Drosophila melanogaster: one gene and its partner. The protein of the gene in region 2 interacts with the protein of the main gene of each other region in a biochemical or structural test. Each region holds a gene or a part of one and is shown on either strand. Other genes may lie near its edges.

What was found.
Region 1: the proteins of DIP-theta (region 2) and dpr4 form a complex in vitro, tested with the Drosophila melanogaster proteins (one study listed by BioGRID).

Annotation. Positions count from the first base shown.
Region 1 is NT_033777.3:11,539,777-11,547,009, forward strand, and holds the start of dpr4 (defective proboscis extension response 4), read right to left. Parts: upstream 3,174-7,233; 5' UTR 2,291-3,173; intron 326-2,290; 5' UTR 204-325; coding exon 131-203; intron 1-130.
Region 2 is NT_033779.5:5,654,815-5,662,047, forward strand, and holds the start of DIP-theta (Dpr-interacting protein theta), read right to left. Parts: upstream 3,747-7,233; 5' UTR 3,581-3,746; intron 1-3,580.

The sequences.
Region 1 (7,233 bases), on a different chromosome or scaffold from region 2:
ATTCACTCTCAGCGATTTATGAGGCTATAAACCGTCTGCGGCTTTGATCCTTTTTCCTTTTGCATTGCCTATTACTGAACAGATTACACCTACATTTTTTCGCCGTGCAATTTCATGGAGGAATACCCACCGAGGAAGAGGAGCAGCCACAGCGGCACCAAGCAAATCGCTTTCAACGCTCTCGGGCAGTCCGTTGTCCACATGTTTTATGCTCTCCACTCGGACTGCTACTACGGCTGCTAGCTACTTCGATGAGGGCGATGAGGAATCCTCCGCTCCTGCCGGCTGTTGTATTTGCTCCGTTTACGGTTTAAGGTTTAATAATCTGCAAAGGAGGAAATATTATTACCAGGGCTCTTTTTTATGGTACCAGTGGCGAAGGACACGCCTGGAAAATAACTGGGGGAATGGCAAAGTAATTTGCCGGGCAAATGATGAAAGCCAGATATATATCCGGAATATGATGGGGGGCGGTTACTACTGGGCGGAGTGGGTCAAGTCAATATGGCATTCTCGTCGGCCGGAAAATTGCCTACCCATCACGGCAATTGTTTAGTACAGTGCGTTTCATTACTCCGAGATGGCCAAACGATTGAATAATAACAATAAACTTAATATATATATATATACATGTGCCACAATTTAGCCATAATACAGCGTTAAATATTAAATGAGCAATGAATAATAAAGTAAAATTCATGCAAATTATATGATTATTCGATATAATTCAAACAAAATTACAAAATTCAGTTGCTAGTTTTCCATTCAAAACCAACTATTAAGAATATTTTTCCCACAACTACGCACTGCAATTACGCACGGCAAAATATTCAATTAAAGCTGAAACAAAATTGGCTTGTTTATTGAAAAAAGTGCAACCATTCTATGGCTATCTAATTTAATTAATATAGAAACGAGTTGAAATTAGCTTTATAACTGGGTCAGCAAATTACTGGTTGCCTGGCAAATGGCAGCTGCGTTTTCCTATTGCCAAGAATATATAATTATATTATATATATTACGAGCCAAAATATCCCAAACAGATTCAATCGAACCAATTGCGCACACCATTATGCTGTGGATCTCTTCCAGAATCCAACAATTAAGCATAAATTATTGATTCAAGGCGACTTATGTGTGCATATTTATGGACCTCACTGCACCACAATTCCAATTAACAGAACAAGAGCCATCGCAGGCCAGTGTAATGGGAAATGGGAAACGGTTGTGCTGAATGTCGGGTTAATGAGGTTAATGCCGGATGTAGCCTGAGCTTTTGGTTTCGACTTGGTTGCCAGGGCAAGAAAATGCGTTTCAGATTCGCCACAGAAAATGCATTCATGGTCGTTGGTGGGGGGGGGGGGATTACTTTCCACGACCCAAAAGCAGGGAGTCAGTCATATTGCATTGCAATGTGGGTAAAGCAATTACAAGGGGAACTCAAAAGGATGGTGTGTGAGGGAGGTGGAGGGGGTATACCCCCGCACCGAATGGAAAACTAAGGCAAAAGTCGAAAACTTCGTGAAGGATGAAATTAAAAAGTTTCCCCAAGCTGAGCTCCTGGCTAAACGACCTTGTCAACTATATAGTTTTATCGGGATAAACTCGATATTGCTTTCACAGACTTCCTTTCCCAGTCGACTTCCCTTTGGCGAATTTGTCAGTCTGGTGCCAGGATACCCCCGAGTCCTCGTCGTGGGTGTCCCTCTCATTATTTATGACTCAAACTCGGTAATCAGTCAGCTCGTGGCGAAAGGGGGCAGTAAGGGTAGGGTCCTAGAGCGGTCTTTCATAATCCCGGTCATTACTCAAAAATATACATTTGTTGTCAGTCCAATTAGCTGCGTGACTCCAAGGGTCAGCAGTCCGCTCCTAGGACCAAGCCATTTGTTTTGGTCACTTTTGGCCTTTCGGCCGACGGCTTTTCGGTTGCCTGGTGCCTGGTTTTCCTTGTTTTTTTTTCCCGGGAATATAATAATAAAAGAGGTTGGCACGGCGGGCTTCATTTTTTCGCAGCTATTACAGCGGAATTATCGCCTAGCCGAACAGTTCCCCGTATGCCGGCGCCCTTTCGACTCTCCATGGAAATTAAACAAAAGTTTTTTGTTTTGCGTTGCCTGCCCGGGAACAACATTATTCTGTTGTTCTTTTGCCTAACTTTTCAGGCCTGTCAAACGGAAACGGCGGACAAAGGGCAACCGCAGTTTGGCCAGTCAGCCAGGACCCTATTTATTGTTTGTTTTTCCCCAGCTCGTCCTTGTGCCGCATTAAATTAAATTCCTTCACTTACGGGTCTCGGCAATGACTTCCAAATGACACCACCGTCATCCTCTGCGTAATCCAAACGGGCAAAATCCTTGAGCTCTGTGATTTTACAACTGCGTTACACTCGATCTTGGCTTTGACATTCGGTTGCGCAATGCGCAATAATTAGGCGGGCCTGCTGGCATGGCTCATTCAACAGTTGCACAATAACGATTGGCATTCAACAATGCCGCAACAATTCACCAACGTCACAGTTCACCAATCAATTCGGTTCAACAATGGTCAAAAAAGTGGCCCAATCGCAAACACAGGTTTATTTCTGGTCTGGCTTACTGGCTTACTTAATAGCGCGGATTTCGAAAATATATCCGTTCGGCGGAAGTGGACACATGGACACATGGATCCACGGACACGCACGCACACGATGACAGCGAGTTGAGCGACAAGGACGTGTGCTTTGTATTATTATATTCGTTTAGTCGGCAAAGTGCGTATGTGTATGTTGGCCACATTAGGTGCCAGCCAGAGCCCTATAGGTATGCACACTTACACTGAGACAGAGGGAAGCACACAGACACAGTCACAGTTACTGACGCACACACACACAAGTTCGAAGGATACGCGGAGAGAGGCATTTTGTGTATCCGTCTCAGAACGTGACCAACGATGGGTCCGTGGGATTTAGTTATTAAACGGCTTTTGGCTTCTGCCTTCACTTCATTCCTTCGTCTGTTTTCATTTTTAAATGTGGCACAATGCTATGTGGCGATGGTGTTGCTGCTCCTGCTGCTTCTGCTAGCACTTTCCCTTTTCCCGGTGCTTCCCTTCCCGTATGAGTGATTTATCCGACGGCAACAACGGAGCAGCGTTCACGGGCATCCTTGCATCAGGATTCGCGTGCTGGAACTGATTTCGATTCCATCTCGGCGAGCGCAAGGAACTTGCACCGCGACTCCGAATCGCGAGACTCCGAAAGGTGCTCTCCCACGCAGGCGCACGACAAAAAGGACCTCTGTGGATGCGAGAGGATTTCCCCGAAAGTCAGAGCATATCAAATATTAATTCGCCATCCATTTGATGTCGCTTTCTTTGCATGCCTGATGAGCGGTTTTATTTTAAGGCAAGGGTTTATTTTCTTTTCTTTATTTCGTCGCTTTCCGTTTTTCAACACGACTCGGTCGTACTTTGGTTTTCCAGCTAACCACCAAGCCGGATCGTTTTGCTCTCCATCCTTCCTCCGTCGCAGTCTCTCTTTCTCCCTCGCTCTCTCTCTCTCTCTCTCTCTTGGGCTTTCGCCATCTGTACTATCTGGGTTATTAGCACAACCTGCCTCAATGCGAGACCGACTGGTAACAGTCGTGCCGAATCGAAATCCGAGTGGTGGAAATCGTGGCCAGACGAACCTAATATGCTCCATAGTCACGTACAAATGAATATTCGTAGTAGAGACGCCTTCGTTTTGGCATATTAATATAGTCTACATTTCGGGGCACAGGCAACCCGCACTTTTTTGTGTCTTTCTCGCACATGAATGATTTACACCCGGGCCATGTAAATGTGATTTTTACCGCAATATATAGGTATTGGTTTAGCCATAGGTATAGCCATGGGAATCCTTTTAGTTTATACGCCATCGAACCGTACCGCACCCATCGCCCCCTCCATTCGCGCAAAAACAATTGAACAGACAGTTATAGGCCAATTTCAGTTTATGTCCATGCGTCGCACTCGAGAGAGATTTGTGTGGCTTCGTTAAGGGACTAGAAAACGTGGTATAGGCTGTAGGCTAAAAGCGCTATAAGGGCTATAAGAGGGTTTAAGGGGCTTATGGGGTCTATGGGTGTTTGGGGGTACGACCAACACCTGTACCTCGTCGTCGTTGCTGCGCCGACCATGTCAAATGTTGCGTGTTATGGCCACAAATGTGGCTGTCGAAAGCGTAGCCACCCCCCAACCTCCCTCTCAACCATCCTTCCCCAGTACACCCGCAAGTACACCCACTACCCCCGCAACCCATCCGTATTCAGAAAACTCGGAACGGGCATTTCAACGCATGCCTTACGAGCTCATAAATAAAATGCCCACCCAGTCGAAGGCCGATAAAGTCGAGTGTGCTTGACTGGGGAATGCCCTGTAGGCCTCAAAACATCGCAATGCAAATGAGCACGGCGCCGGCGAAAGAGACAGACGCACTCAAACGGACAGAGATAGGTGGCTGGCGAGCGAATGAGATAGCAATGTAGAGAAACAGCGAGCCAATGCAACAGAAAATTGACAGACAATGGCCCTGTAATTGACACGCCACCTAGCGGCCATTACGAATGATTAAAGTTGTTTTGACCCTCCCAATTGTGCGTGTGTGTGTGTGTGTGAGTGTGTGTTGCCACGAGTTGACATTTGATTATAGAATTCCATTACCAAACAATTGAAATGGGAATACATCGAGTTGACCAGAACGGAGGCAGAGCCGCACTAAGCAGTTTACAATTTCTATAATTAAGTTAGCACGCAATCAGGTCAAACGGAACACAGGAAGAAGCGATCTGGATAATTATAGAATTATGATTTAATATCAAATCTGATAATAATCAGTTGGATTAGGCGAACTCTTTGAGATACTATTACAAATTGAGTTTTTAAGGCGATTAAAAAAAGGCATCAAATCTTTGAATTTTATGGCCATGATCCTATAACTTACTGAAGATATTGCATAAGCATACCGCGATCAAATATAAGGAGTCTACAGTTCATTAAATCCTCACTCTACTCGGTAGCAGACTTATATTGACTCCAGTGCGATACTTAACGCTTGCTGGGCCATTCAAGAAATCAAATTAGTGGAGCAATCTATCCACCCCCTTGGATGCCCACACCCATGGCCTATGGCCATAGGCCCCACCCGCTGAGATCCTATCTGTTCACCTTTTCGCCAGCGAATTTATTGTTGCCAATTAATTTGTTAAAATTAGTGGAGCAGGCCTTGTCGTTGCCCGTGCATTGTGGTAGTTTCAATTGCCAGCTCCACGGGAGATGGGGTTTTTTCTTTCCAGGATTGGGAGAGGGATGGTGGGTAGGGGGTGTTAGAATGGAGCTATGTCTTCAACTGCTTATCGATAAGCGAAAGTGGGCATGGCCCCCAGACGTCGTCGCCCGTGAAATGTATGCCACGTACACGTATTTATCCATTGCTTAGCTCGCCGATGCCATTTATTGCTCACTGGGAAAAAGGGGAGAAGGGTGAAGACGGAAGGGGGGAGGAGCTGTCCCAGGGGCGGGGCCAATTGGGGTGCTGAAGGGGGGATTGCAGGGGCTTCCGCTGCCTTGAATGAATGCTAAATTAATTTCAAATGAATACAAATGGCTTTTCGCTTTTAAGACCAGACCCAAGCAGTGCCAAGAAGCGCAGAGCGCAGCAATAAACTCCCCCATCACACAGCCAAAAAAAAAATCGACGGCTTTCTGCTAAAAAGGACCCTTGGATTTTAAAAGTATATTCCGCTTGGCCATTTGAAAGTATTTTATTGCAGTCAAAGCGCTTTTATTAGTAAGTAAATCCCGGATTTCCAATTAGCCCCAAGAGCAACTATGCAAATGCATGAATGAAGGATTTCCAAATAATATATTTATTGTAGAAATATAGAAATATATATATGACTGGGCAAGTTCAAATAAATAAATACAAATAAATCAAATTCAAATTATTACCGTGTCAGAAGTGAAAAAAAAAAAACAGATCTGATGCCATTTTTGTTTACTTAGCAACTGAAATATGAGTGAAATATACAAGCATTTTTCAACGCCCGAGGAACAAACATTAAAATGTGTCAAAGGAAAAGCGAGATGGAATATATCAAAATTATTTAATTATTTGAAAAAGGATAAATTTATAGGAAAACAGCCTGGGCAAACCAATTAAATCTGTAAAATATAAGTAATCCTCTCAATCAGCACATTTCAAAATGGTCATAAATTGTCGAAAAGGAAGGTCCAATTCATATATGCACTTTTTTTCCCATTCATATCAATCATATTTAAATATGTGATATCATACATTTGTTATTTACGACTTCAGGTCGGAGTTATTTTGTTCAGTAAACTAAAATACATTTGACGTTCCATTGAAGCTGGTTTTATTTGAAATATCAAGCAAATGGCATGGAAATATGCAGGTAAATACGAAACACAATCAAGACAGGCAGATACATTTTGTAGCTACTCCTTTTCTTAAGGATATTTTGTATCAAAGAATTTATTGAAGGACTCACTACTATTTTCTCCCAGTGCCAAACTGAGTCGTTTTGTCTGTCCCTGTCTGCTTTACATTTCTTGTTTCGTTGAAATAACTCTACGTCTGGGTCTTCTGTTGGCCGTGTGGGTGCTGCCTCCTCCTCCTGGCCACCACTTCTCGCCCAGATCCTCCTCCGATGCCGATTCTGATTCGTCTACCGGGCAGAAACGTTCCGAGGGCCTCCATGTCGAGTTTATCAGATGCAGTGGTGGAAATTTACAACGCCACAGTCCGGACCAGACAACGTGGCCGTTAATTCAATTCAGCGTAAGCCTCTTGGAGCCCAGATACCCCGGAACCCCGGAACCCTGGAAGCCCGGAACCCCTTACTATACCTTACCACCGTTTGGGGCTATTATCCAATAACTAGAGAAAGCGGCTAATCGCGTGAATAGTTTGGGCGGCGTAATTGATGTTTACGGCAAAAACCCATGCCCACTCTCACTCCCAAACGCGCTGGTGGAAAATTTCCATTTCGTTGACTAGTTTTCGGAGTTGGGCCTGCACACCTGCTGGGCTCTTTCAACGATGCCTTGATTTAATGCATTTCATTGAGCAGCAACGACCACGCCCACCTAATGTGGGCACACCTCCCCCCACCCATCATTTTCGGGCCATTCATTTAACTAAACTCACCCCCATTCCCGGCCCCGCCGTCTAACTGGCCTCACAAATACTTA
Region 2 (7,233 bases):
CTGCATTTTTGTGCCCGCCAATCGTAAAGAGTGGGGTATATTGTGCAAAGGGTATAAAAGGTATAATGAAAGCAGCTTACATTTTTGCAATGCATATTTAAGCATACCCATCATATTAAGCTTTGCCAGCACTGAGACAGGAAAATCCAGTTTAGTATTGCTATTGTACTTATGCTACTTGTGAAACGCATAAGAATTAATAAGTTATTCGCCAATAAGCTAACAAAAAAGTAGGTATCCAATAGTCGAGACAATCGCGAGTGACAGCTTTTCGTGCTTAATATACATATACCCAAAGCTAGTTTTTCGCTCAGTTCCGTCTGCATCCATATTTTCCTCAATTTCTTTTCTTTGTGAATTTTCCTCTTATCCGCATTCTTTCCGTGTTTTATTTGACATTCTCTTTTTGAAAGCGTTTTGCTACTTTCGCGTGTCAAAAACTGCAGCAGAATGCCAAATAAAAGGCTTGTTTATGTCACCTGAAATGGTGGTGGGGATTTTGTGCTTTTCCTTTTTTTTTGCAGCTTGGTGACTGTCGCTGGTAATATGCAGAAAATGTATTAAATTAAGCTTAAACTTTTATAGCGTTTGGTGCCAATCAAAATCTGCTCGGATTGCAGATGAATTGGAATATTTATCTTTTCGACGCGACATTTCTTGGTCATCCTATTATGAAGACTTACAGCTATTCGTTACGAAAAATTCTTGTGGCTTGAAAATCAATAAATATGCAAGTAAAGGAAATATTTTTTTCTGGTTTTAGGCAACCAGCAAGGGTAGTCGAAACTTTTGAGAAATTGCGAAACGTCATTTATCTATTGTAAAAGGAGAAAATGAGTACTTGGGCTATGAGTGCTTCTTGGCCCTCGGTTTAATTAGAGCCACATCCACTGGGAGCGTTTACATCATTTGCCATAATTCATCTGTCCACTGACTGCCAGCTGCTGTTGTGCATCGCTCGAAATAAAAATCAAATCACAGAGCCGTCCATCTTGGCTGTCAGTTGCCATGATGCTTGCTTGTTTTTCCTTGCCTTGTCTCTTCTCAGCTGGGAAATTTCTTTTAATATAACAAGCCATGCGAAATGCGTACACAAAAAGATGGCAAAATGCTTGCTCCAACGCCCGCTCACACTAACTAGCCACAAGCAGCATTTCCCACTGACATGCAGCTTGTGCATTTTCCCCGTCTTGCATTTGATTAACCTACAAAAAGGCGTTTGGACGTGCGATGCAGTTCGCACAGTGGGCGTTCCTGTTTGTTGCTGCGGTTTCTGGGCTTTTCTTAACGGGCAACTTTAATAAAAAAAACGGTCAGCGGGGGACGGGATGCAGCTGCAGCGGGGGAAAATGCATAAATGCATAAAAAATTGGCCAGCTTACAAGCCGCTTTACATATGCAACATGGGCGCCTGCTGTGCGGGTGTGTGGGTGTGCGGAAGTGCATTGGCACACATATACTTGTACGAGCACACATTGTTGCAAGCAGACATTTTTCCGACACGTGTTTGCTTTCCCGCACTTCCGTTTCCGCCGAGCCATTGATGTGACTTTCCGTCATTTTGTGGGAGAACGAGCTGCTTTTCCGACGCCTTGCCAGCCCCTCAAAGACTTAATTATTTTTCACCAAATAATTAATCAGAGTGAAATGGGAAACTAACAAAATCGGACAGGATGGTGAGACCGACCCCATTTACTCTTGTGATGAAATTTCGAAACTTTGGTAAAACACTTTTTGGCCCTGTGCGAAAGTATGCTGTGAACTATTGCAGCCACCTGAAAGCATTCACGCATATTCGTATGTGTGCGCGTGTGTGTGTGGCCAAGCGTTTGCGCTCGTTTGTGTTTTGTGGGTTGGCCATGCATTTCCGGTTTTAATGATTATAACACAATCAAGTGCATATTGCCTAATTAGCGATCCCCAGCAGCAAGCGCCGTCCAGGCCGCATAAAGTGCATAAAATATTTCCCGCACTCGCTGCGGGCGCTTCATCCGCATGTGCATATGCATGTGTTAGTGTTCGCTCGCGTGCGCTAGTGTGTGTGAGTGCTCGCATATTTTATGTCGCTTATTGGACGGCCATCCACAACGAGCTGTGCATCTATAGTATGTATGTGCATGTATATGCTTCTAGCAGCTAAATTTCATATTCATGTTGTTTATACGGCTTCCGTTTTGGGTGCGTGTGCGAAAATATTGTGTGTAATTGTGCGGTCGGCTACCCGTTTTATTTGATAATTGTGCACAAAACTCCCCACCTATTCATTAGCGCTGACGAACAGCGCCCCACAAATTTGTAGACACAACAAAGGCAAACTGTTATTCCATTTTCCCCCCCAAAGTCTGACACTTGACGCGAGCTCCCAATAATTTAGTTAAAGCTCGTCCTTGGGTGATTTTCGTCCTGCACTTCAAACTGTTTTCGGGCTACAAGTGAAGTAAAGTTATCAAAAAAGTTTGCTGATACCAAGTATTCGACGTTTCGCAAACTTTTCTGAATTATATGTGTATATACGAAAGTAGTGAATGCATATAATAAAGGATAAACGTTGCTTAAGAAATCATGTTGCATGGAACTTAATTTGTTAAGCACATCATTCAGGCTTGAATATTTTTAGCTAGCAATGGCAATGCTAGAAGTCAAAGGAATTGTAATAATAATAAATCGCTATTTTGTTTATGTTGATAACGAGAAGGATATTTTAGGATACTAATATACAAAATACAAAGACAAAATATCCTAGGGGTTTCAAATCATAGAATTGGGCAGAGCTAACAAGTTATTAAGGCATAAAAACCAAATATATATATATAAATATATATATATATGTATCCTTTTGCCATTAATGTTAACCTTTATTGTATACAATAATTGTTTTTCTGACCCTGTTGTTTAAGTTTTCCTTTCATCAATATAAAAGCTTTTTTCCTTTTTTCTTAGATTTATTACGCGTTTTATAACAAACCGCTGCTGTAATGTGACACGGCTTTATGTTGTCAACCACTTTCGAAAGTAATTCATTTTTTTTCAAACAAAATTTCATAATTTCGTTGCGTTCTGTTTGATCATAATCCTGTTTTGAAACGACATTTTTTGTTGATGCTGCGCTTTGCGGGCCACTTTTAATTGCAATAATTAAATGTCAAATTAAATCCTAAATTCCTCGGTGGAATTAATTCAATTGGCGTGACAGTCAAAGTGAAATAACGAATAAAATACCACAATTTCCCAGCGCCGCTAGGGCCCTTCTATAAATGCCGTTTGCAGGCTCTACCAGCCGAGAGAAATGCTGTGATTGTTTTTCCGCAAGTCGGCACTCCTCTTTCATTTTTTTTCGCCAGCCATTTAATGAGCCACGCTCGACTTGCCGCCAAGAATGCAATCAACAGGGGAGGGGAGCGGAGAATGCACGGGTATGCACCAGGACCTTAGTACCCAGCAAGGAGCCAGGACCGGCACAATTTGCGTTAAGCGGGCTGTGAAAAATGAAGTACCAAATTGAAGTTGGCAGCCAGCGTCTCCGGTTGTGTCTTGCACTTATTTATTTATTTAATTCTGGCCATTCCTTCCGCTTACGTACAGTGCTGAGCTATTGTCCTCCGATGATATCGCAGGCACTCGCGACTCGCGGCATTCAATTCAAGCGAGGGACGAAACGCGAGCGCGTCGACTTTCGACACCAACGTGTTAAGAGCTGCGAACTGGTGCGACCGTCAGCGTTGCGCACTAAAACCATACTAAACTAATTTGCTTAGCAGGACGCACTGATTACACAAAGTCCTCGAAGGGCGATAATCGCCGTCATTCGTCACGACTGTCGACTACCGAGCGCTCTTCGGCTCGGAGTTCGTGGAGTTCGGCAAGCACTCGCGAACTTGCCGAAGCGAGCCGAACTCCAAAGGCAAAGAGAACCAGGTCCCGTTAGAGAGCAACAGAGCCAGAGCTCTGTTAGCTGGTTAACAGTGCTGTGGCAGGATAAGAAACCATTGTTGGGGCATCGAAGTCGACCCTTATAGCAGCAAACTATTCTTCCTATTTGGTGGGCTTAAATCTACAATGCAACTTCCAAATAGACCAAACGACTCATATCCTGGCATACTGATTTTTAGAGCTCTTTCCACTAATTTATCGATTTAAATGCAAAAATTTCGTGCCATCTAGCCCGGCATTCCCCAATGATGACCGAGCTTTCAATCATTTAAAATTCCCCAAATACACACACACACGCGGAACACACTCTTCCCTCATCAATGCAAAAATCAAACATTATTTATGCAAATTACAAGCCATTATTATTTAAGCCAACAACCACAAAGGCAGTAATAGTGGGCAAGTACGAGGAGGGGAAAGGGAAACTCCGACCAACAATCATATCCGTCATAGTCATAAAGCCAGGGACCAGGGGACAGCGGGGCCTGCCAATGCTTTGGGGAACCAATTTGGCAGCCGGCATAAATAAATTTTTACTTAATGTAGGTCAGTAATGTGCGCTTCGGTCTCTCTTACCCAAGGCTTCTCTCTTCGGCAAGCGGTGCTCTTTAGAGCGTTCTCTCTTCGGACGCAGCGCCGTGAAATATGCTACTAAAGTTGCTTCTTTTCCGGCTGCGTGTGTGTAGGTGCTCGGGAAATGCCATCAAGCATCAAAGGACCGGGTATGCTTGCATAATGCAAACAGCCAATGATATTGCCATGATTCGTTGAATAATTTCAATTCCAGCTTTCAAGTTGCACACACCAGTAGTCGGTAATTGGTATTAAATAGTTGGGTAGTTAAAAATTTGATGTCATAAAAATAATAAATGCTATTTAGTTATTTGGTAGGAAATCTTCATAAATTCTTAGCTTTCTTCTAAATTCAAAGGTGAAAAGTAAACGCTAGTAGCACAAATTTTTTAGTGTTAAGATATTTTTCGAACATAAAACAATTGCATCTGAATACCTTCGAATAAGCACTGACGCTAACACGATGAATAGCTGAGTGATATCCATCCTAAGTAAAGTTGCATTTGCCAGGGGCTGCATAAATAAATTAGGATACCGAAACTGAGCCAACCGTCTAAACTTCAAAACTCACTTGGTTTCCCATGGATTTTTGCGTAAGTTTAGCTCTACTCACAGTAGACTGCTACAGTCTCCCCCTTCATTCCCTTTAAACAGATCCTGAGACCCACACAAAATCGTCTCCTTGTAACGCATCCTGCAACGCAAGTTGCTCGAAATTTATGTACAAACTCACTTAGGCAAGAATGTTTATGCGTTTTGTACGTGTTGGTTACTGTCGCTCATGTGGGTAGCATCCTCCACATCCTTACCTTGCGCCATCTCATTCCAGCGATCCCACTCGTTTATTTTGGCATTTCTACGAATTTTTTGGGGAAATTTTGTAATGCTGTTCTATGTCCTGAATGTTGTCTCCGGGGAGAAGAAGTGGCCAAGGGGGAAAATGCCTTCTCACGCACACCGAGAAGTGTTATGAAATTTTTCTTCTCTAATGACCTAAATGCAAAGGAATTTCATCTAGCATTTGAGCTAATTGCTATTGCATTGCGTACCATTTAAGTTTCCGTAAATTAAGCTAACAGTCATTGCCTAGGACACGTTAAGTAACAAGTTAGGGCACAGTCCTTGGCACTCAAAGTAGCCACATTTAAATTTCTCTAATTCTTCCTAAGGGGTCATGCCAAAAGCTTTACCGTAAAGAAGAGTCGTCCTTCACGCCTCGACAATTTGAGCATTTTTCCTTCGCAGACTGTTTCCCTTGATCACTTCGGCTGTAAACTATACTTGGCAGTTGCATGAGGGCCAATTATCTGGCACCTCGAGCGGCGGTTTCATTCCAGCTATTTACATATAATTAGCGCCCAACTGGCAGACCGTTGCATCGTTTTTCGCCACTCTCGTTCTCCGTATTTGCACAACGCAGTTTTTGTGCATTTCTTTGTAGTTTCCCACTCCAACTTTCCCTTCAAGACTCTTTGCCAACTTTGACAATGAAGTTGCAACGATGACAACCCCAACAAACTGGAGCGAGTGAAAATATGTAGAAGAGCTTTCAACTGGAGTCGATCAAAAGTTACCCTGCTCAATCGACCCAATTGGCTAAACAAATCAGAATGAGTCTTACTTGCTTGTATGAAAGTGATATCAAAATAATTGTAGTTGAAGTGCAAAAAAATACAGCAGTAACGCATTGAGACAATACATCCAGAAATATCTGAGATAAATCATGTTTGCTTCTTATTATTTTCGTATATAACTCAAGAATATTCAGCTAACTGGGTAATATACCGCGTATAAAAAGGACCGAGACCATCGAAGGTATGCGAAAAACTTTCCCGGCTGATGGCAGTTGCATAGAGGCGCCAACTTAATAAGGCCACCAAAGAGCCCAGTGGGTGGCGCGTATGCAAAGCAGGGGGCTGGAAAAAAGAATTCACGATGCAGAGAAAGGAACTGAGGCTCCCTTGAAGGCAACACTTTCTATCATTCCAAAAGCAGCCAGCTCAAAGCGGGATATATTCCGCCTGATTGCACTGAGATGCTGGGGTCCATGGCGCAAACAAATTCGCAAACGCTCAATTGGCAGAGGTCGAATGCAGCCCCTTACTTGGTTGACAGACAGCTCTGAGTTTGTTTGTCGGCTGAGCAATGGGCGAAACCAACCCGGCGTATACGTAATGGAGCTTATTGATGAGCGAAAGTAAGCCCAGGACCTTTCCATTTTTGATTCGCCATTCCCCGCTCTAGCCATAATAGCACAGTCATCTGTGGCGGTCATTTTCATTAGCTGGCATCACGCGGTGGATGCAATAGCCACAACAACAGCAGCTTCCTCCTCACCAATTGAGCGGAGCTTTGTCCAAGGATACCCACCTGACTGCAGTTAATTTTGCTGATGCCCACGCTGTTGACTGTTTGGCTGCTGGCTCAGCTCCTGTTTTTGGCACCCGACTGCAGTGAAAACCAATTATGAGGCCTCCAGCAAAGGCTGCATGCAACATGGAATCTTCTGGAGTGCGGATTGTGCCAGTAGACCGAAAAATCTCTACATTTTTGGTTAAACCTTTAAAATGAAAAAAAGAAGATTACTCCATTTTTCTATCGCCATGTATTGCTTTTTATTTTCCTACGAATAACTACGAGTAGCAACCAATACGTCATACGCGTAACTAATTAGTTCATCATTTACTGATTGCACTTTTCTGGTCTTCCGCAAACACAAACTTGATCAAC